Arabidopsis thaliana: one gene and its partners. The protein of the gene in region 3 interacts with the protein of the main gene of each other region in a pairwise test. Each region holds a gene or a part of one and is shown on either strand. Other genes may lie near its edges. The genes, in order: KNAT7, KNAT6 and BLH7.

Region 1 (7,974 bases), on a different chromosome or scaffold from region 3:
TAGATAATTGGAGTAGTGATAAATTTTTGTTATTGAATTTAAGAAAATGTTTTCATTAGTACTTATACAACTAGTTAACTTAAATTTAACATAAAATAAACAAGTTATCCCGTTTTTAAAATTATATGATAAAAATAGTTCTATGGATAAAAAAAAATGCTATTAATATTTTTATAAGAAAACTTGTTATTATGTATAAATTTGTTGTTACTTTATACACTTTTAATAGCATAATGTAGAACTTTTATTCAGTAAATATAAGAAGACTTTATAAATTTTATTTCGTGGAAATGTCATTGAAAAAAATGTGTTAGTAGGAATAACAAAAAATTATTTCAATATATGAATATAATATGTGACAGATCACCCTAAACATGAATTATTGTGTTTCGTAGTGGTTTTGTGTGTTTAAAATAGTTTATTGTTGTCTGAATTTTAGACAGAGATCTGTGAAAGCGGTGGCGTGAGAAATTATTAGTTAAACACAAAGGAGATTCCACTTCATTGGGTGTCTGAATTTAAAATATGTATTATTCGTTGCAATTTTAATTAAAGAATCTCTTTTTTTTCTTTTTACCACCCTTTTTCTGGTCAACTACTACTCATACTATTTTTTAATAGTGAAAATTAAAAAGTTCGAAGAAAAAGAAAAAAACACTTAAAACACGTTACTGTTTTGAATTTACAATTCACAATTATCGACTATAAATGCGTATATTATATTAAGCATCCGAATCTTATGAGATCAAAGAGCTAACTTAGCAAAAGAACCCGTTAACGAATCGGTAACCCTTTAAACATAGTATCATTTCAATAAATATACAGATACATCTCAATTACAAATTAATGTAGTGATTTATATCATATTCATATGTACATAATTCCACCGATTTTTGGTACTAAATATTGTAATTGCAAAGTTTCTATATATATTGTAATTGATTTGACATCGAAACTAATGAGGTTTAAACCAAAGATCTGGATCTATACAACATTTGATATATTAAGCATATAAAACTCCAAATGTACAAATCCCCCTGCCCTTAAATACCATACACGTTATCGAAAATATATACGTATGTCACTAACATTCATTTATTAAGCAGTCAGTCCAACTTCTTTTGTCAAATTAATTAGTAGTTTAATGTTATAGTAATCGGGGGTTACCATAAGGCATAAAGTAATGTCTTTACTTTTATATATATATATATAAACAGATCGGATCTTCTGTCTGAATCGTAGTGGACAAATGATGGCGGCATGTGGTGACTTTTCTAAGATAGTAAGATCCCAAGTTCTCAATCTCAAGAGCTATTTTTTCTTTTTTAATGAATACATCATATATCTATTTCTCGGTCTAGTTGTGTTTGTAAACTCGTTTGAAAATATTAAGTTACACAAATCTTGGTATCAAATAAAGAACTAGAAAACTATACGTTAATTAGTTTTTGAGAATACCAATAATCTAAACTGGAATTAAACTAATCCATTTTTATGGACGATTTCTTTCATTGATCGGTCCAAAGATATTATGATATGGCTTATATTTTATAAAACACTGCCTTTTTTGTCGGCATCATTACTTTATATTTCCAAATGATGGTCTAGTCATCCACGGAAAACACGTTACAAAATCAGTGTTCTTACCAAAAAGATAAATTTGAATGCACAATACAAACAAAATGAATTACAATCTAGTAACAACCAGTAATCACGCAACGCACAAATCATATAGTAGTCGGTGGATCTAATAAGCTAAGTAAGTACATGATATTAATGATCACACCTCGTTATTATCAGTAACATGAATTACGTATGTATCATGCATGTCTTAGCAGTGTAATTAGTATGAATATATGTAGAGGTAGTAACTAATATAGTAAGAAGAGATTAGTGTTTGCGCTTGGACTTCAAGGAAGTGAGGGAGTGAGAGTTGTTGTGCCAATTCCTCTTGCGTTGGTTAATGAACCAATTGTTGATTTGCTTCAACTGCAATCCTGTCTCCTCCACCAATTTTGCCTTGTCATCTTCCTGTTCAAGACACATATTTTTTTACATTATAAATTTGTTGTTGTTAATGACATTTTAGGAAAGAAAACAAAAACAATCAGTTTCAGTTTCAACGAAGAGAGGCCAATGCATGTGCAGATCTGATAGCGTCAAAGGCTATTTCTTTTCCACTATAGCATGCAACTTTAGACTGTAGTCCACCTTTTTGGCTTGTGCCAAATATTGAACGGGAGAGAGATGTATAGTGTTTTTGAGTATTAGTAACAAATTCAGTATGTTTGAAGAATAGAAAAAAAATGCATGTTGTGACTTTGAGTGTAACCAAAATGGGTCTTGATTGTTTCTTTGCATTTACATATCTATCTTCATTTGTTGTTTCATGTTATAATGATTATCATATTATTTCATGAAAACGTAAACCCAAACAAACAATTAGACGGAAACTATATTTGTTGTTCGTAAAATATAGAGAGTACTCACCGTAGGGTAAGGCCATTTGCAATGTTGTTGCCACCAATTTTTCAAGACAGTAGTTGTGTCTCCTGGCAATTTCCCAGCCCTTCTCTTCCTCATTATCTCTTCTCTTACATCTTCGATTCTCGATTTAAAACCCTTATCCGAAAAATAAACAAACGTCATAACAAGAAAATAAATAGTAAAATAACTGTATTACTATTGTGAATCATAACATATTAGTTAATTATACCTGTTTGAGTTCTAGTTTGAGTTCTTGTCTGACTCTTTCCATAAGGGATCTTTCCGATTCAGTCGGTAGCAACGGACCAAATCCCGTCATATCGTGGCCGCCGCTAAAATCAACGCCGGAATTATCTGACGAGAAATCCATCGGAAGATCATCCTCATCCTCCGACATAGTCGCACCCGACCCTTCTCCTAAAGTTGCTCCTACAAGAATACAGAACGTTTTAAACGAAATGTTACTCCAACAGTCAAACTACAAGATTTAGACGTCAAGCCCAAGCCCAAACTTAGGCTCAAGCCTGATATGCCCTTACGCATACAATAATCCTAATCAATACATCCCACGCTTTACGTGGTCATCAGTGCAAAAATAAATATTTTTAATAATTTCGTATAATTAAGAAATTTCATCTTTAGACTAATCATATAATATAACTATATAAGCACAAATAAAATCTCTATTTCTTATTGTGTGGGCATATAATATACTCTTCCTGATCATCTTCCAACACCTTACATTTAATATGTTTACTAGTTGTTCATATCTGGTATGATCAGCAAGAACCTTTAGATATACCTAACTCTATTATTTGTTTTAACTATCGCTAATTTTTAACAGGAATTTTAATTATATATATCTTAAGTACTTTCTGATTCTATAGCTATGTGGTATATATAATAACATGTAATTATCATGAAGTTATGTTTTTTAATTGGGTTATAAAAAATACCATTAAAAAAGTGGAAAAGAAAAGAACCTGTAAGAGAATGAAGGTTGTTCTCAATTTCACGGCAAGCCATAACAGCTTCGACGGCATGAACCCTCACGTGCTGTTGCAGCTGTTCTTTGAAGCTACACAACACCATTACATATTGTGCCTGTTTCCAATTAATTATAATTGTTAAATGTTTTATATATCCTCTCACATTTCATATAATTATTCAATGTGTAAACATTTTCCACATATATGCATACACACATATAAATATGTGCTTCTGGTGTGGTGTGTTTTGAGCGGTTAGATCATTATATAGTCCTATTTTCTACCTAACTTAAATAAATATAAATAAAACCGAATTTTTTTGGAACATTTCACAAGCTAATTCCAAAATTATAGTTGCAATATCAATTCCAACTTTAATGCAATTGCAAATTTTAGGTCGGAGTAGAAAATCAATCGTAACTAACATGATAATATTCAAAGTTTAAATAGAATTTCAATTTAATTACAAAATGACATTTAACATTGACTCACTCTATGTGAAATTTAGCACCTAACTATACAAAAAACCATATCTACATCTATGTGTGTGTATTATACATTTGAACATTCGTGTGAAGATACATAAATTTCCATGAAAGTTGAACAAAACCACTTCTTCACAAAAATCAGGTAAAAAAATACCAATAACTTAAATCATTGGAAAAAAACATAATTTGTTTGAAGTATAACTTCCCACAAGAGGAATTAGTAATTATAAAATTTATAGAAATTGTTGATATATTGACAAAAGGTTTACATCTTCGATCGATAAAACTCCCAACGATCTTGTAAAAAGTAAAACACGAAAATCATTGAAAAAAACATAATTTGTTTGAAACATAATTTCCCAACAGAGATTGGTTAGTAATCATAACTTCATTCAAAGTTAGTCCACTAGAAACCATCAAAAAAAAACTTTCAAATGAAAAAAGATAGAAACAGAACTTGTAAGTAATTTAACCAAACAAGATTATTTTTTAAAATATAACTAATAAATTTATATTCAAACGTACCAAGAAATTATCGAGCTCGTGACGATCATGATGGTATCCAACGGCCGTGGAAGCGTAAGAACGGAGAAGATGATGAGATTGAGAAAGCTGAGCTTCAATGATCGGAAGTTGATCTATTGGAGTAGCTACTCTTAAACACGCCACGTGTGCGGCTAATAATTGCTCATACATCGGATGTGTCGCTATCTCACCTTTCAACTGTCTATTCTGCTCCGCCACGACCGCGGTGTCTCCGTCTCCGCCTACGGTGGCTCCCATCATACCTAGTGCCGCTTCTTGCATAACCTTGACACAAGACCGGAGAGAGATACTTTTTGTGTCTGATCAAAACCCTAATTCTTGAAGCAGATTGTGTTCGTATGATTAGAAAAAGAGAGAGAGAGAGAATTGTCAGATGAAATCAACCTATATAAAGCTGTCCTGATTTCTTTCCCCTTTAATTGTTTTTCACTCCATTCTTTTCTAAAAATATACATTATTTGTTTATAGATTATTTTGTCTTATTTGTATACAAAATACATTTAAAACAATGTTTGTTATACACGGGTCTGGTCCGGCCATACCATATATTATTTTTACATAGATCAAATTATATTGAAAGTATTATTTTTGTATTGTTAATCGAAAGACTGAAAACTAGAATTACTAATTTTCATCAGATATGTGAATACAAACACACGGACGTTGATTGTTTTATACGGTGATTGTTATCTTTACAATTAATCTGAATTACTTTAGTCTAGAAAACTGCTACTATATATATGTTTGATTCCACAATATGCTGATATATACCTTGACGTAAAGTTATGAAAAAAGTGCACGTTAACAACGTGCTTTACAAAAATCATAAATACGTGTATATGTATGTATATAAAATGTAAACTTAAAATAAAAATTAAAAACACTTTTATTTTCCTTCTCGTGACAATGATTTAAGACCTAATAAGTGATCAACAACTTGAACTTAAAAATTAGTTGAAATTTTGAAAAAGAATGAGGAAAATAAAATATCTTCCCACCTTTAACGACAGGACCGGTAGACACACCTAATCCTCTAACGCCCACTTAACAAATAGTATTAACACCTAATTGATAATACTATTTAATAGTATAGAAATATAGTATATTTGTTTTCTTCTTTTGGTAAAGAACAAATATAATTAGTTATTCTTTTAAAATATTAAATACTCAATTACGTGATACAGTTAAATTTTTTTGGACAAAATGTGATACAGCTTTGATGCACCATTTCTTAGTCATATAACCTTAAAACAGTAACACTCTGATAATTTAATTGCAGTATTATTTGATAGATAGAAAAATGCTTTCATATTTTTCCTAGTTTGATATGAAGTTAATATAGCACACAAACAATAGTTTGATATATGAACTTTAATATATACTAATAGTTTTTAGCTAGAATTTCAGAAATATCCATAAAACTGAAAAAAAAAAAATTGATGTGTTGTGAAACGTTGTTAAGTCCGGATACTCTTGTGGCATGGTTTTTTGTAACGTCATGTAATAGTTCCGTTCAGAATTACAAATCTTCTGAACATACATGTTGGACGTTAAAAAAATTATTTTTCCACTTCATCGTTTAAAAAAATATATTCTTAAATCTTCTGGTTTTCCTCCGGCTTGGCATATTGGAGCCAATAGCCATCCAAGTAGTCTTAAGTTTTTGCAAAAAAAAAACTGCAATTAATTACAAAAACTAAAATAATATTTCATCATAACAATGGAATCCTTGGTCGTTGTAATTGCATATGTTGCATGTAGTTTATATCGTAATAGGATTAGATCAAATATTTTTAATAATGCCAATAATACATGACACAAAAAAAACTAAAATAATAGCACATAATATATTCTATAAACAAAAATAAAAAATACAAATTAAAAGAGGATTTTGCATATTATTAAATGAAAAAGAGAATAATGCACGCCTTCACCAATATGGAAAAACTACTTTCCATTTCTCCCTTTTTATGTAGTTATGTACAAATTCCCTTTTGTTTTACGCAATGACATCAAAAATATTCGTTCGTATAGAAAAATGAAAGAAACAAAATAAAGAGGGACAAAGACAGAGTTGGTCGAACAAAGAAAAGAGGGACAGAATTGTCGTTCTCTTAAGCCTAAGATTTAAGACATCTCACATCTGAAACAATTTGTGGTCCTATGAAAACGACTTCTCAACTTATAATAATGCTTTTGACACAAAAAAAAACTTATAATAATGCGGCCATTAATCAGAGAACAATGAGATACTATTAGTGACACGATACTAAGTTTTAGTGATTTAATGTACGGGCCATATAATATTGTGAGTTTGGTGGACCTAAAAATAATTCTCATTGGGCACTTCATTAAGGTCTCAAAGCCTAAACACTTGTACACATGGGTTCGTAATTGTTTCCGTGTGTGATATTACTAGCATAAAACGTTTCCTAGCTATGTGACTCCTCAAAAAAAAAAAAAAACTACCATTTGATTAGAGGTAGATTTTCATCAAACATATTGTATTCTTATGAAGACGCCAGACGGCATATTTCATCAAATTATAATTCTTGATGCCTCGTTAATTAACGTGTAGGCAACGATCATGTTGTTTTTTTTGGTGTAAAAAATGACCATGTTTTATTGTTTATCAATGACTTTGAATGTAACTTTGCTCATTTGATTTTCTTTAATAGTTACTACTTACTACTAGGCCACTAGCGGTGTTACCTTGTAAATTCATCACCGTGAAAGAAAGAAAAAATCATCACCATACGTACCTTACTTGTCACCAACGAAATATATATATATGTCCCAAAACCCCCAACAACATGCATTTTAACATAAATTAAAACCGTTTTTACAAAAGAAAAAAAAAAGAAAACAATCCACAAAAACGGAATCACACGTAAATATAATTAATTAATTAGGAACAAACTCATATTCCATGAAACCTGGAGAAGTCCTTGTAGCAGAAGCAACGAAAGCCCTAGAATGCCCCACCATTGACACTACTCTAAAAGCTTCTTCTTCATAAGCTTTTCTCTCCATTTCTTCCCTTTTTGCCCTTCTTCTCCTTTTCTTTGCCGTCACTACAGCAGCCGCCACCACCAGCCCTAAAAGCACCACCCCCACCGTCACAGACCCAACAAGCCCTCCAACAACCTTCCTCCACCGTCCGATCTTCTCCTTCTTCATCTCCTTTTCTCCTCCACCATTCGATTTTGGATCATCCGTCACCACTAAACCAAAATGTCCATTGGTTTTAACGGCGCACACAAACGGCTTCACTTCGGCGGCAAGCGTTACTTTTCCATCAAGTTCAAAAGTAGCGCACATTGGCTTATTCAAGAACGTTCTCTCTACCACCGACGGTCCAGAAACGTTCCCAAAATCAACGTTGGATGGATCTTTAGTACGGGCTAGGAGGAGACTTATCTGATAAGAGCTACTCACGTTATTCCCTAAAACAACATCGTTTA
Region 2 (10,084 bases), on a different chromosome or scaffold from region 3:
AATTTCTGACTAAAAAATATGGGACGCATATATTCTCCGACCGCAGTGGGCATAACACTATAACAGTGCTGATGCAGTTTTTATTATATAATTTAAAACAACACCTATGTGCATTTGTTAGTTTGTTACATATTCTAAACTTTCCTTATTTATTTTTATATTAAAAAGAGATTTCCTTTTGTATCTCAATTGTTTATATGCTCTATATTTAGACCGGATCTCGACTTAATTAATATTGAACATTTTACATCACTGAAATCTTGAAGAAGAAGTAAAACTATTAGTAATATACTAATATCCTATCTTGACCCAAAAAGCATAAGGTTACTATAACTCAATACGCATAACATTATGGTTCGTGCTACTTAAGCTGCATTTCACTAGATTTATTCCCCCATATATTCCATGAAAAGATATGTCATTAGTCACTCATGAATTACATACTATTTATTTATCTTTTTCGAGCTAATAAAACCACAAAGAAAATGTATTCATATTGTTTGTCAGATTGTCCACGTACCGCATTTGGATTGGTTTTTTCTTGTCACGTTTGGATTGGCTAAAGTTGATACTTTACACATTGGTTGAATATTTATTTAAATATAGTTAGAAACAAATTTTGGCTTACGTCCATCAGGAGGTGATGGTGTATATAAGGCTTGATTATGAACAACAAAGACCGAGACATTTGGTGCTCTAATCAGATTTCTAATCCAGAAGATTTTTGGTCCACAGACCACAGATATATCTATTCTGGGTTACTTTGTCCCTTCCTATAATAGCAGGTATGTTCACATTTAACAACTTTGTTGAGTGGGAGGTTTTTTTCTCCTAACATAAATGAGATCAATTATTACTCTGTTATGCTCAATCATGTCCAAGTGGTATTATATAATTCTTTCAAATAAACCCGCAATTTCTCTTTATGATATTAACACTGATTCCGAACTTTTATACCAAAAGATTTTCAAATGATTCTTATAGTTTTATCAACAAAAAAAAAAAAAAACAGATTCTTATTAGTTATGAATGGGCATATACAACCATTGCTCGAATCATATCAATTATATATCTTACAAACATTGCTGGAATAATATCGATTATTTGTTATGCATCATATTCCAAAACTAAGATATCAAGGGTTTTTGCAAAACAATACCCACATAAATATAAAAATTCTAAAATTAACAGGTTAAATACCGATATACCTAACCTAGATCACTCCTTTATTTGATGTAAAACACTTGACTAGTCGGCTACTCGGCTATAAACCTATAACCAGATATAACTATCAATTCAAATATTAAAAGTGTAACAACTAACAAGTGGTTCAAGCTGATGATGGTATGGGTATAAACTAGTAATCCTAACATTTTATAAAAGTTGGGTGAGGATCAACGGTCGGGATCCAAGGGAATGGGATGGAGGGACCAAAGCTGTGTTTGTTTTTTATATGGATTCATACGAAACCGTAACTTTGTGTCAGATAATTTTCGAACAAACATGGCCCGAAAATGGATGGGTCAATCAACCTGTCCATCAACGAAAAGACCCTTTTAACACTTTTTTTTAATAGAGAAAATAGAGGAACATATTTGATAAAATATTGGTTTATAAATCTTGTTATTGTTTTTCCGTTGATGATTTACATTATGGAAACAAGGTTTCGAAGCACTAAACTCATTAAATATGGTTGCAAATCTATAAATATTGGCTAAAAAATCATGGCTGGTCACTATGAACGTTGGAGATTAGTTTGGAAAAATTCCATAGTTATTAAAAAATGGTTGAGAGGCTTAGTAAATTTCCTCAATAATTTATTTGTTGGATCCTAGGTCACAATTAGAATGGACCACGAGCCGAATTATAAATTCAGTACTTTAGCTGCATGTATAATACGTAGACGAACTTTATAATTGGGTTACATATATTTATGTCGTCTTACATTATTTGGTGATAGATTATTGCAATTATATAGATAGGTAGGGAGATAGGTACAGAAAAATGAAAAGAATCTATCAAATCACAAAGCCTAGATATGTTGATGGAAAATGAATATAACATCGCACGTAGTTTCCTGAGCTCAATACTCAACATCAGCATCCAAGTGGCGCATCGCATGGATAACCAGAGAAAGAAAATATTGAACATTTTGATTGTGTCTCCAGAAAAAATTTGTATTGTTTTTTCTCACCAAGAATATGCATATGTGAACAAATAATATGTTAAATAAATAAATAACATATTTTCGTCTGATCTTTGCCAATAATAAGAAGGCAAACTCGTTTGTGATATATATATTGTTTTCGCTTTTGTGACTTCATATTTATCTAATTTCAAGTCTCCTTTCTTTAACTTAATTTCCCCTTGATTATTTATGATACGTTAGGTGATTTAGAGCAACCAATAGTTTGCAAGTACCTTTAAGATGAAAATGACTTTCTCTAGTCTTTGAGAAAAAAAATAAAAACAGAAACAAAGTTTATATTAAAGTAGTATGAAAGAACATGCCACTTTCTTGATTGAAAATTATATGATAGACGTAAAAAGCTGTCGACAAAACTAAAAGAATAGTTCCATTCGAAATATTATAGATGCTCTCGTTCTATTTTCTTTTTGGTTAAAGTGCTCGTTTTTTTCTTGATACTCTCTTTAAATTACGGCCAATTTCATAATTTCAAACTTAATACATATGTAAAATCATTAAATATACCAAATTATGCTTATGTCTATTTTTGTGAATAAATTACATAGTTCATTTTCATAAGCTAAAGTCATCATGAATATCAGCATCATCAATTTTGGCATAAATTTCATAAATCATAAATTAGCTAAGACCATTGATTTTGCAGCTCCTATACGCCTAGACCAGCGTTTATTTTATTCTTAGTTTTATCCACAAACTTGCTTTATACAGAACTATTCTAAAGTAAACACTAGCTGATACTATATACTAATTTAATCTTAATTAGACGATTTTCCATTAGGGCCTTCTTATCTACTATCTAGGAACGGACCTTCGCTTCTCGAAACCCATTTCATCCCGTACAATCGAAGTGTCCAACATCCGAGTTGGTAAAAAATTTCTTACTACGTAGTAGGTACTAAGAATCACTTATCATATCCATATATTCTTCACATTTGATTTATTTCATACCATCATTTGAATATATATGTGTTGATTATCATTTTGTTAGTAGTCGTGTTCGATAATTTTGTTCTGTATCTAGCAACAAATTTACAGTGACAAGTATTAAAATAATACCGCTCTTTAACTATATATATGTATGTATCAGCTCACTAGTTGTTTGTAACCAGTTCTTGTTTTTCCAGTTTGATATATTCGATTCAACATACCCAAAACATCTCTCATATACTGAACTAATATCTATTTCTAATTGACTCGATTCAATATCATTAGTACTATATTATCTTCTGATATGCGACTTCATTTGTTTTCTTTCTTCTGTTCGGTTTTCCACTTGTTGTTTAACATTTTCACCTTGTTTCACTATTTGCAATCAAATAAACGATTTATGTAGGTGTATCTATATATGTTCTTAGGATCATAATAAAAATATATTTTCTACAAAGTTTTTCGAAAATATATATACATTGGGGATTATTTTTTTAACTGTCTACAGCTCACACATGCATATTATCATATTTGAATGAAGATAACGATACAATGCCGATACTGATACAAATCATTATGTTAGATGCTCAATTTGTTTCTATAGGTCCTATAATATATACATCAAGTCATCAACTATACTTTTTGAAAAGAAAATTACACAGAGCTTTCAAATAAGTTGCGTGTAGTTTAGTGGTTATATGTACTAGTAGTTATGTTACCATCTAAGTGTATTGTCGATGAGAAAAAAAAGAGTTCAAATAAACTGACATAGTATGCTGGTAAATAATCACACTTTTTCCGTTTTTTCCATTTCGTTTTCAATAATATATAATTTTGTTTCTCGCCATGTTTCATTGATATTAAAAATCTCATGATCATGCAAATTCTATCATAACACAGCCTTGGACCTTTCTTAGATATATATGTTAGGAAGGCCTTATCTCGACCTATGAAGCCTGAAGCTCCATTGAGCCTTTTAGCATATGTCCTTTTTCGTAATTATCATTTTATTTTTCTTCTCCGTTAACTTTCATATCTTTTTTCTTCCAAAAGAAAATAAATTAAGATCCCTCGAGCCTCTCTCTCTCTCTACACACTCCCATAGAAATAAATATTTTCAAGAACCAAAAAGTTTGTTATAAGCGGTTTCATATTATTCTTCTTCATCGATTCTTGATTTTGCAAGAAGACAATTCAAGAAAGCGATTTAGAAGACGGAGGAGTTCTTACCGGAGATCTTATACTTATGGATGGAATGTACAATTTCCATTCGGCCGGTGATTATTCAGATAAGTCGGTTCTGATGATGTCACCGGAGAGTCTCATGTTTCCTTCCGATTACCAAGCTTTGCTATGTTCCTCCGCCGGTGAAAATCGTGTCTCTGATGTTTTCGGATCCGACGAGCTACTCTCAGTAGCCGTCTCCGCTTTGTCGTCGGAGGCGGCTTCGATCGCTCCGGAGATCCGAAGAAATGATGATAACGTTTCTCTAACTGTCATCAAAGCTAAAATCGCTTGTCATCCTTCGTATCCTCGCTTACTTCAAGCTTACATCGATTGCCAAAAGGTGATCGTTAACTCTTTCTTTTTTTATCACTTAGATAAAATCTAGGTTTTACTTTTTAAAGATAAAGATAAGATTGAGAAGCTTTGATATTTGATTGTTTTTTTTATAATTTTATGGTTTAACAATTTCATAATTTAGAAACAGGTCGGAGCACCACCGGAGATAGCGTGTTTACTAGAGGAGATTCAACGGGAGAGTGATGTTTATAAGCAAGAGGTTGTTCCTTCTTCTTGCTTTGGAGCTGATCCTGAGCTTGATGAATTTATGGTCTCTCTCTTTTTTTCCCTCGATTTTTTTTCGGATTTTTATTTTTGTTAAAATATTTTTTTTTGGAAATTTTTGTACTTAAGAAGATAATTTATTATCAGGAAACGTACTGCGATATATTAGTGAAATACAAATCGGATCTAGCAAGACCGTTTGACGAGGCAACGTGTTTCTTGAACAAGATTGAGATGCAGCTACGGAACCTATGTACTGGTGTCGAGTCTGCCAGGGGAGTTTCTGGTATGTCTTAAATTATCCCTCTCTGGTTCGGTCTTTTAGTGGTTCTATTTTGTGGTTAGTTCTGAATGATTTCTTTTGATCTTTTCCGTGGTTTTTCATTAATAATATCCTTTCCTCGATATTTCCATAGGGTTTTGATTCATATGACCAGTTTCTGAAAAATGATTGGTAGCTTGTTGATAGAATAACCCTAGGCTTTTGAAGTGATCAGAAAGCAAAATAGATAAAAAATGAAAAAAAAGAAGATAAACCCTAGCTACAAGTTTCATTTCCATAGCTATTTTTCCCTTGATGGGTTTTGTTTTGTGTGTGCTTTTCTTTTGGGCACGTTGAAACTCTGGAGACAAAGATCTGTTTAAGGTGTTGTGCAATTATTTTACTCGTTCATTTAATGTTTTAGCCATGGGATTAGGGTGTTGGAGTGTGGTGGGGATTTCCTCTTCTTCTTGTTGTTGATCTTTGTGCTAATCATACAAATTTTACTTTATATCTTTTTCTCTTCTTTCTCTGTCAGAAAGAAAATGGTGTAGAAAGCAATAAACTTTTGTGGTAGAGATTCTGATTTTGACGTTTCAGAGGCTTGTTGCGTACTGAATGTTTTTTCAACTTGTTGCTTTTTTCTAGTGAAAAACCAATTGACAGAAAAACCTAGTCATAACTTTTTAACAATATGTGTAGTTGATTTTTCATGAGCTTCTTTTGCTTCACTTCTCGTTTAACAATAAGTAAGTATAAGTACTAGTCATAACTCATAAGTCGCTTCACTCTTGTTTATGGGTAACAACCTTATTAGGTTACCAGTTTTTCTAAGACTTCAACTTCTTTTGGTCAGATGATTATTAATAACCAATAAGCCATAAGAGTTATTAGCTGTAATTCCTCTTTAAGCTCATTCACAGATTCTCTGGATCGGAATTAATAAGCGTGTTTAGATAATTTTACGATTAAATTTCTGTTATATCTTAATAACACACCATATAATTTTTCTATCTAATTAAATAGGTTAAAACAATAAAGTTAAAATTGTATTTTAAATTTAATATAGAAGTCTACAAAACGACATTCTTTGTGAAATAAAAATTTAATCCTGAATTCGACATTTATTATGAAGAACGTAACTTTGGTCTATTTCAAGTTTCAATGATCTGAGAACAAGAGTAGGGAGATTTTTGTTGATCATCGGAAATAGTATCATTGCCAAGTGGCCACTCTTATCTGCATGTTCTTGTTGGAGTCTTGTTGGACTTATATGTAAGTAATAAACCAAAACTGACTCAATTTTGAAGCGATTTAAAAGTCTAGGTTTTATGCTTATACATGAATGAAATGCTTCAAATAAGTGACTTTCTTTGTGGTTTACTGATATTATCTCTTTAGACCACATATTGTACTACAACTAGCAAAAACATTGTGGCCATAACAAATCAACCGATCAGGTTAGCTAGAAATACTGATCCTTAGGAGTTTTTTTTTTAATACAATAAAATAGAAGAAAAACTCCAGCTGAAAGAGTTAGCTGTAAAGAAATGAAACTCCATAGATTGGTAGACTTTTTTTCAGCTTTGCAGGAGTTTTCCATTATCGTGGTCGATCTCAAATGCAGGTTCCACTTGTACTTTGGTAATATTGTTTATTGGGGGAAAAAAGCTGCTGATATATAAAAACATATCAGCTTATCTTTATAAACTAATCGAGAGTTAGCATAGAGTATCAACTGGAAAAGTTGAAAATAGATCGATGCAGGTTTTCCATAATGGACGAATGTTTATGATTAATAATTTTAAAATTTGTTCAAAGTACAACTTGCCTTTTTGAATGATCTCATCTGTTTTTTTTTTCTTTGGTTGTGTGCTTTATTTAACCATCTTTTTCTTTCACCTGAATGAAATCATAAACTAATAAAGAAAAAAGAAGCTTACAATTGTTAGACAATATTCACATGGGATGCGATGTTATCTACTAGTTTCTCAGTTCAATCACATGCTTGGTTTCTTTCATGTTGATCTGATTTAGTAATACAAGTTGATCACATAGACTTTTGATTTCTCACTTCTTGGTTGTTGTGATACGGTAATGCAACTTAGCGAAAGCCCTTCTTTGGACTAGCTAAAAAAGCAACACATTCTTTTCTTCTAATGCGTGGTTATCTTGCTACTTAGAGTGGATGGTCTCTTATTGACTTTTATAGTCAACATTTGTCTTGTTGCATGCAATATCATCAATGTTACATGTTTGCATATTTGATCTAGAAGATAAGAATACTGCAACGAGAAGAATAGGAACATAGTGCATGATTAGCTTGAATTAGAGGTTCTTTTGGTTTTTGTTATAAAGTAAAAGGTGGAAAAGTCACATGGACTCCCGTGGATTCCGCTAATGACCCCACCAACTTTCTCTCCTAAGATTTTATTTTTGATTTGGTTATTAAAAAAAAAAGGAGACATAGGGTTCTCTACACACCACAATCAAATCATCTATAAGACTGCGACTATGCTTCTTCTCTATCTTTCTCAACTCTTTTGCCATGCCCTCTGGTTGCGTTGTTCCCTTGGTGGGTCGTATTATGTCTCTCTGAGGCACGCTACTAGCACGTGTCTACTTGCATGTTACCTTCTTCAGTGAACCCTATTTTCAAAGCAGTCAATGCATTGCTGAAAATGTAAATAATAATCCCAACCATACAAACTATCGTTTTTTGCCATTAAACTGTTACCCTAACTACTCATATGTGTGTAATGTGAACGTAATGGTCTCTATAATATATGATCAGTTCATGTTTTATGCATTTTAGTATATTTTTATTGGCCTATTTAACATCTCTATTTCCTTCATAATTACTGTGGCTGCTGTAGAAATCTTTTAACTTTTATAATATGTTTATAAAACTGACTGAATTGCGTGAATTATAAATTGACTGAAATTACCTTGGCTGTTGTAGAAATCTTTTAACTTTTTTTAATATATGTTTATAAACTGACTGAAATTGCGTGTATATATTATGTAGTCCAGTATTTTGTGTGACTGACTAAATATTTTGACTAAGCACGGTTGCTTGGTCCGACTATATATTCTGTCACATAGGCAAAACTATTGTAAAATCAGGTAATGTTCTTGAATCGTCTTTGGGTTGAGTTTTGGTGTCAGAGAAGCTGGGTAAGTGGGTCAGTAGAGTCGTTGGGGCATATATATAAATGTCCAAATACATTAAAGAAAGAGAGAGAGAAAAGGAAATTGAGTTTTGGGGTATCGTGGAGAACATAAATGAGAGGTGTAGCGTTATTTCCGGGGGTTCACACAACCTCTAAATGGTATTTACACGTGTCATATTGAGATTGGGTAATTAGTAGGCCTAAGGGGGGATGTCTCCTCATGGGGACAAGACTATTAGTCCTCTCCTGACAAATGACAATGGAGGTAACTATTCACTGCGGCGGTTTTTTGACTGCTGCACTCAATCGTGTGCGTCCTCGATATTCTCTACCCCTTACCACTCTTTCTTCTTTCCCTTTTTTGCCCTCTTTAGCCACTTAGCCGTTTTAGCCGAGAAAGCCCATTTAAACTTTTTCATGGTAGTGAATAGTGATAATTCTGTTACATTTACTTGCTATAACCTATAACCATTCTCTGTCTTTGATGTCTTTGTATAGTGATAATTCTTGTGAATTTGGTGTAACAGAGGATGGTGTAATATCATCTGACGAGGAACTGAGTGGAGGTGATCATGAGGTAGCAGAGGATGGGAGACAAAGATGTGAAGACCGGGACCTCAAAGATAGGTTGCTACGCAAATTTGGAAGCCGTATTAGTACTTTAAAGCTTGAGTTCTCAAAGAAGAAGAAGAAAGGAAAGTTACCAAGAGAAGCAAGACAAGCTCTTCTTGATTGGTGGAATCTCCATTATAAGTGGCCTTACCCTACTGTAAGCAAAAGCAACACTTGCATGTTTTCCGACATAACTAACCACTACACTTATATATAAATGGGTGGTATGAATGTGTGTGTACACAGGAAGGAGATAAGATAGCATTAGCTGATGCAACGGGGTTAGACCAAAAACAAATCAACAATTGGTTTATAAACCAAAGGAAACGTCATTGGAAGCCATCAGAGAATATGCCTTTCGCTATGATGGATGATTCTAGTGGATCATTCTTTACCGAGGAATGAATTTATTTATGGTACTTATTTAACGTTGATTAAAAGATGGATGTATAATTCTGCCTTGCTTTGCCGACAAAGGAAAAAAAGAAAGAAAGAGTGAAGCATGGACGACACATGAAATGGATCTTACACTCACTCACATGTAGTAGAAGGAACAAGTCAAAATGCTTTGTAACTATTATTATCGGTGAATAAAAATAACCTCTTTTGTCTTCTCCGGACCTCTCGTGATATAGCTTTTACCCTCTTATTGGCAAAACGTTGAACAAACAAAATACTTAGATAGGTTAGATTTGTTTATTAACTATGTGTTTTTCAAAAATAATTATAAAATATCTTGTTATTTGTGTAAATCACACTAAATTAAACACATTCTTTTATTGACAGTTTAATCATCATGTACATTTTGCTAATTGTAGCCAAAAGTTTAGCTATCTAGCAATTGGAACCTTGTGCCCATAATCCAACCATCTCTGTTTAAATTTTGGGGTGGGTTTCAAATTATCCTTATTGGGCCTAAAATCGGCCCAATATTAAACTGAAACCAGACTTTTATCCAATCCGAGTAATCGGAACAAAACAACATGATCGTGTGAACCAACGGCCAAAAAATGGCGGCTCTACTCGGTATCGTCTCTCCTGTGACTTTCACCGGAAAGCACCCGGTAAATTCCCGATCGCGACGGAGAACGGTAGTAAAATGCTCGAACGAAC
Region 3 (7,164 bases):
TATCTCGCTTGTTGGAGCATCTCGCATACTAATATTGGATGTTCCCCTAAACCCTTCTGTGACCCGCCAAGCTATTGGGCGAGCGTTTCGACCCGGACAAAAGAAGATGGTGCATGCATATAGATTGATTGCTGGGTCATCACCTGAGGAAGAGGATCACAACACTTGTTTCAAAAAGGAAGTCATCTCAAAGATGTGGTTCGAGTGGAACGAGTACTGCGGATATCAAAACTTTGAGGTAGAGACGATCGATGTGGATGAAGCTGGTGATACGTTCCTCGAAAGTCCTGCCTTAAGAGAAGACATAAGAGTTCTCTACAAAAGGTAAAATCAGTTTAGATCAGATCCACACATAACTCTTCAACTCACATTTCTCTGTTATTGAACTTCCTTAATGCTTCTTTTTTCAGGTAAACGCAGACAGAAACTTGTGCTTCCGCTTTTTGGACATGCTTAGGTTTTAGAAACCTGTCAATAAGATAACTTCGGGTAGATCCTTTTGAATTTTCTGAATGATTGTTAGCATTTTAAGTGTAATTTTAATGTCAAAACATTTGATCTCATGTACCTCTAACCATATAATTAGGTCTCCTCATGTTTAAATATGAAACAGATCGTGTCTAATCTCAGATTGTCTCCTCATGTTTTCTCATTAATCTACAATTTCGTTTTTTGGGTTTACTTTCACAAAAGAATCCATTTCTACACCTTTCTATTCTCCTCAAGCTACAAAATCATGCAACAATTGTGAAGAGCCAATCTGGTGCTGGTGGTTGCGAGAGTTTAAGTACTGTAGATCGGTTCCCGAGATGGTATTCTTGTAGTTATCTATCCCACCGGACATAGGAACATCGCCACGAGCATCGGAATTCTGAATCCCCAACGTTAAAGACATCCCACCATTACCATTTCTTGTCATGTCAGTCACCATCATGAACCGGTCACCACCATGGGCCACTGTGTTTTGTCTCATGCTACTGCTTGCCACACCAGGTACATGCCCATTGTTGGAACTAGACTCAGTTTGCAGCTCTTGAATCTCGGTGATTTCTGGTGTGTTTTCAGAAGACTGGTTGGGATCATTCTCCTGCAATGCATCTGTGAATTCCTCCTTGTACATCTCCTCCACCATCGGTTTCCAGAGACGCACACGCGCATTTATGAACCAGTTCGATACCTTTCAACAATCATCAAACGAAACAATGAAAAATGAACACACCAGAAAGAAAAGTATTAAATGAGAGAAACGGCACAAAAGCTAACAGTGCAATACCTGGCCTCGGCTCAACCCCGTTTGTCTAGCGAGCATGATCTTGTCTGAATCCTTTGGATAACTAAGCTCAAGGTTTTGAAACAAATGGTCAGAGTCTCTTGTGGTCAATCAAAAAATTCACAAGAGTAGTAGAGAGACTTACGGGTGGAGGAAATGCTCAAATAGCCAAGCACGGAGAACCAAAACAGAAGAATCTGGTAAACCGCGTTGAGGCCGCCAAGTGTGAGGTTGCATCACACCTAACCGCTGCAACGCTCTTTGTTGCCTTACCTGTTGATCAACATTCCTTAACCTGCTTATCCCCACTCCTCTCCCATCTGATCCATCCTGTTCCCCTCCTAAACTTTTCCTTATCACCAAGATTTGTCCGGATATCGCATCCCTTAAGCAACGGAAATGCCTCGAGATGGTCTGAAGCGCAAGGGCTGTGTATGGTTTGGCTGCTCCACATCCGGCTATTACATCGAAAGACGACACGACTATCTGCATCTGATGGTAATACTGCTTGTAATTTCTATCCACCTTCAAACAACAAAGAAACAAACAACATTTATGTTACCACGAGAATCATTAACAAGTGTAGAAGATATGTTGTAAGGCGGATTACCTCGTCTAATATCGATAAAAGTTTCGACAACTTGCTCTGCAATTCTTGCCTCTCTGCTTGAGGGATTTCAGCAGTATTCGTCTGAAGATTCTTCTCTTTCACTTCATTAATCTTATCTCCCTCTGGCTGAAACTGCTTTAGAGCTTTCTTAACATTAACAGTTTCATCAAGAAGCTCTTGAGCAGCTTTGAGATACTTTGAGTTGTGAATGGTTCGAGTAAATCCCGAAACAACCTGTGTTGCATACTCATTGTTATTATTGCCTCTCGATGTCTCAATCTGCGAGCTGAGGCCAAGACGCCTCATCACCGGGAAGCGATTCCTGTCATTGTCTTCTTGATCTCTCCAAGAACCAGAATCTTGAATCTCAACCATTTGTGAAACTCCACCAAGGCTTGACAACACTTGAATCTCTTTTGAAGGTGACACATTATTAGTTGAATCTCTAGGAAATGTCTCTGTGAAAGAATTTGTGTAGTTCATTGCGTTTCCAGGGACAAATTCTGGTCTGGAATAAATCTCACTTGAGCCAGTTTTGTAATAAGTGGCCATAGTCTTCTTCTTCTTATGATCAGATCAAACAAGGAGTCATCTGTTTCAGAATCAAACACAAACAACACTAAACCCTTTTTATACTTCACATTATGTAATAAAATCTTAATTAAGCAAATTTTAAGAAATTGAACCAATGAAAATTATGAGAATTATCTCTCTGCATGAATTTAAGAATTTAAAAAGAAGAAGAAAGGATAGATTAAAGAATTACCAGGAAAGCATCTGCTGGCTTTGTGGGTGTTAAAGGAGACACTAAATCTCAAATTGAAGAAGGAAAAAAGAAATGTTTTTTTTTTTTTGTTTTAACTCTTGATGATCCCAAGAACACAAACTTAACAACAAACTCTTTATCTCCTCAAATCAAAATCTTGATAATACAAAATGTTTTACCCACACAAAAGATTCAAGAAAACAAAAGATCCATCCTCCTTAAAGCAAGTTTCCTTTTTGAAGTAGAGATTTCATTAAAAGCTGGTTCTTGAACTTGCTTCTTGATTCTTCTTCTTGTTTCTTGGAGTCAAGTCTTTTGGTGAAGATAACAAAAACAGATCAAAATGTTTTCAAGAGTAAAAATGTGGTAAGGAGATTATGTTCTTAACAAACCAGTTGGTAGAGATCTAAACCCTTTTCTAAAACCTAATCCTAAACCCTAATGCCTCTCTCTTTCGTCTCTCTGGCCTTTCTGTTTGTTTGCTGCAATAAAATTGAATGAAGCTATAACCACCATACAATCATTTTCTGTGTTTTTTATATTCTTATCTAAAAATATTTGATATATTCCTGATTGGTGTCAATAGTAAAAGATATTTTCGTAATTCTTCTATAATAATGTGTTTATCAAGCATATTTGGAGAATAAGACAAATATATAATGAACGTTTTTCATATCTAATTTTGGTGCTATGCAATTTTTTAAATATTTCATGTCCGATTTGTAATCAAAGATAATATTAATTTTTGTGTAGACTAGTCCATCTTTATTAGAGTGGGGAATAATTTGGGTAACGACGTGTCAAAGTTTACACACGGATGTTTTTTTTCAACTTCTTTTCAATAAAATAATTTCACTTTTTTGGTAAGCTTTTTACAGTTTCTTCTTCTTTGTCTTTAAATTTCACTTTCAAGTTTCAACATTTGATTTTTTTTTGTTCTTTCGAATAATATCTGTGATGGTCCACATGCTATTTACTATATAGTTGCATTTGCATACAACTATTTTTGCAAGGAATAAACAAAAAAAAAACACTTCATATTCTTATCTCTTTCTCATAAATAATGAATAAGTGGCCTTTTTCCCCACTTAGCTTTGTCTTTTTGTGCCCACAGATTTTAGGTATTTCTACAAATTTTCTAACTTTTACTTTCTTTTCACTAAGTGTAGGTCCATATCTTGTCATGGAGGACTTTACGATTACGAATCAGAAACAAATTGAGAAAATCCCAACTCCAAGACATTTTATAATAAGTCTGATTTGTAGTATAAGGTGGTACGAAATGGTGGTAAGAGGTAAGTCAAATTAAAATGTGTGGTGAGATATCTTAGTGTGATAGAAAATGGTGGTACCACCTTTTCTTACCAACACACTGAAAGGTTATAGTTTTTGCATGGAGAGACCAAAATAGACTTTTTGTGAATTAAGTGATTTAGTTATTTTCTATGAAAAAAAAAATTACGAAATACACAAGAGTTAATTTTGTGGGAAAACATAGGTAAGCATTTTATTTAAATTTACACTTCAAAATATGAGAATAAAAACTTGAAAAGAAAATAAAAATAGTAAATTGGGGTGGATAAGTGAAGAACGTGAAATGATGGGTAGCGAAGAGAAAGAAGTCTGAATTGGGACAGAGATGGCAGAAGGAGAAAGAGAGAGAGAGACCTGGACAATGGACAGATAGAGTCAGTGGATAGGGAAGAGTGTCTTCATAATATACGACGACCAACCAACCCTTCTTCTTATTATTATTAATCCAATATGAACATGACGCCGAAGATATTTGCTTGGGAAATAAGAGAATTGTAAATGTTAAGTTTTTATTAGTGCCCTACTTACGTTGAAGTTGAGATTCTATTGCTTTTAGTAAAAGAATTAATACACAAAACACTCGGATTCTTTTTGCTGGTTGAAATACGTTTAATTATTAGCATGATTATCTAGTCCAACCACTTCCACACTAATATAAGCACCAAATGCTCATCAGTTACATAATTTGAATTCAATATAATCCTAGAGCCACATTTCTCTAAGAGAACCAAGTATCATATTCCATTTGGTCCCCTGAAGAATTAGATGAACCAGCTTGCCGGAACTTGTTGAACCTGGGTCTCTTGGGTGAGAGCTGAGTATCTTGACCAACTAGACTACAATGGAATGTTGTTTATGTAATCTTCATTAATTTTACTGATAATTAATCTGGTTCATGATAATGTGACAAAACAAAAAACATTGCGAGTACAATTAACTTGATCTCTTCAAATTGTCTACCAACTTATCTATGGAAAGAGTTATTAACTCATTAAGGACGTGTCTGTTCCAACCATTTAAGCTATTGAATCTGTGCATAGGAGTGTCACAGAACTATATCTTTATAAGAGATGGGAAACTAAATTGACACAGTTTTGAGATTAGCGATACAGAGATGATGCCAAACCCAAAGCCTTTGTGGCAAAAATGACGGATTTAGATTCATTTATAATATTATAGACAAACCTTATGAGCTTGTCTTTGCTCTTTTCCATACAATGACAACACCATAGAAATCAGACGAAGCCAACAAGTTCTCCCCATGGTTCCACGCAACACACATTACTGGAAACCTGTGACCCTGCAAGCATCCATTTCTCACAACTCGTGAATCCTGTTTCCTATAATTCAAAATCCATACACAAAAGTTTCAGATAAAAAAAAAGAAAAGAAGTTATTGTCTAACCTGTAGCTTGTTTACACATGTGTGCTTCGGTTTGGTTAGATCATAGAAGTAGACATTCGAGTCTTCGCTTCCAGCAACTGTAGTTTCAAACAAGAAGAAACGCGGAGAAAATGACTTGCACTTCTCAAGAGACCTATGAATCTACTATTACCAAAACTATAGGTAAATGAAGGATTGAAATTCAAACCTATGTATTCTCCTTTCTCTAGTGATAATAGCGGGCAAAACGATGCTTGGATTCTGTGTATTCGCGGGGCTAATTTGAGGGAGCAACGCAAAGTCAAATAACCTTTTATCTGAAGGGCAACACTGCATCACCAACACAAAGCAGAAAAATCAATTATAAGGATCTCTAAGGACCTTGACAAAAAAAAAAAAAAAAAAAAGGATCTCTTAAGGAAAAACAAGAAAGAAAAAAAAGAAGTAGTTCTGTCGCCAAACCTAAAGAAACTCAAGTTTCCGTCCTGAGTACATGTGAGCAGAACAGGGCCTGATGCCAGGAGGGAGAAGCTTCTGTACTTCACAGTGGTGACAGGAGATTTGTGATTTGTACGATGACGATGAGACCGGGATAATGACCCTGTATGCGAATCCATGCTTACTGAATATACAGTTCCCTGCAATTATTATTAACTACCTTGTAAAAACAATGTAGAAATGCCTTTTTCTAGCATACCGAACAAATGCAAAAATTGATCAGTCTTGACCACAACATAGGTAATCGGTATAGCCAACCATAACCATAACAGACCATCTCCCTAGTTTTTATCTTTTTACATCAGTATAGAAAAGTTACCTGCCCATCTCCACAGAAAATTATTTGGCCAGTGTGATCATGGTCCATAGATGTCACCTCATCCTCAAACAACAGTTTTTTAATAATTCTCCCAGTGCTGAAATTGAACACCTACTTTGTCAAGCAGAGAGATGTTAGGCATAAAATAAGTAAACAATTAGAAAACAAACGAAAAAAGCAATACACTAATGTACTTAGCTACAAGGAGTAGTGAAGTTACCGTGAGTTCCTTGTTTGCATTGCCAGCAGAGAGGAAATTGTTATTAACCTGTTGAAAATATGGAAATGAAATATCTTCAATGGAGAAGCAAGAGAAAACAACAAAAACCATCCGCACTCAGTATCTTATATGAGACGACTTTCACAATCAAAACAAAAAGTTGCAAGTTGTTACAAGGGAGAAATATATAGATGATGAAGAACATCTTTGACAAAAAAAAAAAAAAAAAAGATGATGAAGAACATCAAACTTACAGGGTGGAAACGGATACAATACTGTGGAGAGATTCCATATATAACTCTAATACAAACGCCTCTTGACAACTCCCATACTCGTATTGTCTTATCAAGTGATGATGACGCGATGTATTGATTGTTTGACGAGAAGTCAAAATCTGATAAGAAGTTTGTATTAATATTAGACATAGGATCTAAACCCAATGACATACATACACACTTATGCTCTATCCATTACAGATAATTCTTTTACATTTTCCACTCAAATCTTACCCCTAACAAAGCATAGAAAGTAGGTACCATGTATCATCATATTCTCAGATTATTCAAGAGCAATTCAGTGTAGCAGATACTGAGATACAGAAAAGACAAAAGTAACAGTACCAGTCAATCGAACCTGTGACATCTTTAGAGTGACCTGTCAACTGCTTGAGGACAGAAGGCTCTTCTAAGAGACTACAAACTGTTAAGCTTCCATCTGATGCTCCATATGCAAGTATATCAGAACTCATATGACCAAACTTGAGAACAGTAACTGCATAAAGTT

The links.
Region 1: the proteins of BLH7 (region 3) and KNAT7 interact in a two-hybrid assay, tested with the Arabidopsis thaliana proteins (2 studies listed by BioGRID).
Region 2: the proteins of BLH7 (region 3) and KNAT6 interact in binary tests that used the Arabidopsis thaliana proteins (3 or more experiments, as listed by UniProt).

What each region holds. Positions count from the first base shown.
Region 1 is NC_003070.9:23,334,265-23,342,238, reverse strand, and holds KNAT7 (homeobox knotted-like protein), read right to left. Parts: upstream 5,073-7,974; 5' UTR 4,772-5,072; coding exon 4,490-4,771; intron 3,592-4,489; coding exon 3,471-3,591; intron 2,917-3,470; coding exon 2,717-2,916; intron 2,623-2,716; coding exon 2,491-2,622; intron 2,032-2,490; coding exon 1,891-2,031; 3' UTR 1,547-1,890; downstream 1-1,546. Other genes in the region: AT1G62981 (transmembrane protein, putative (DUF1191)), read right to left, coding at 7,415-7,974. UniProt on the Arabidopsis thaliana protein: May be involved in secondary cell wall biosynthesis.
Region 2 is NC_003070.9:8,296,791-8,306,874, reverse strand, and holds KNAT6 (homeobox protein knotted-1-like 6), read left to right. Parts: upstream 1-4,274; 5' UTR 4,275-4,382; coding exon 4,383-4,703; intron 4,704-4,841; coding exon 4,842-4,970; intron 4,971-5,071; coding exon 5,072-5,210; intron 5,211-8,886; coding exon 8,887-9,128; intron 9,129-9,217; coding exon 9,218-9,376; 3' UTR 9,377-9,584; downstream 9,585-10,084. Other genes in the region: MENG (S-adenosyl-L-methionine-dependent methyltransferases superfamily protein), read left to right, coding at 9,982-10,084. UniProt on the Arabidopsis thaliana protein: Plays a role in meristem function. Contributes to the shoot apical meristem (SAM) maintenance and organ separation by controlling boundary establishment in embryo in a CUC1, CUC2 and STM-dependent manner.
Region 3 is NC_003071.7:7,100,769-7,107,932, forward strand, and holds BLH7 (BEL1-like homeodomain 7), read right to left. Parts: upstream 3,161-7,164; 5' UTR 2,647-3,160; intron 2,473-2,646; 5' UTR 2,433-2,472; coding exon 1,881-2,432; intron 1,796-1,880; coding exon 1,416-1,795; intron 1,335-1,415; coding exon 1,274-1,334; intron 1,178-1,273; coding exon 722-1,177; 3' UTR 501-721; downstream 1-500. Other genes in the region: DRD1 (SNF2 domain-containing protein / helicase domain-containing protein), read left to right, coding at 1-324, 411-414; AT2G16405 (Transducin/WD40 repeat-like superfamily protein), read right to left, coding at 5,147-5,260, 5,366-5,442, 5,553-5,674, 5,807-5,982, 6,162-6,272, 6,382-6,429, 6,636-6,775, 7,015-7,152.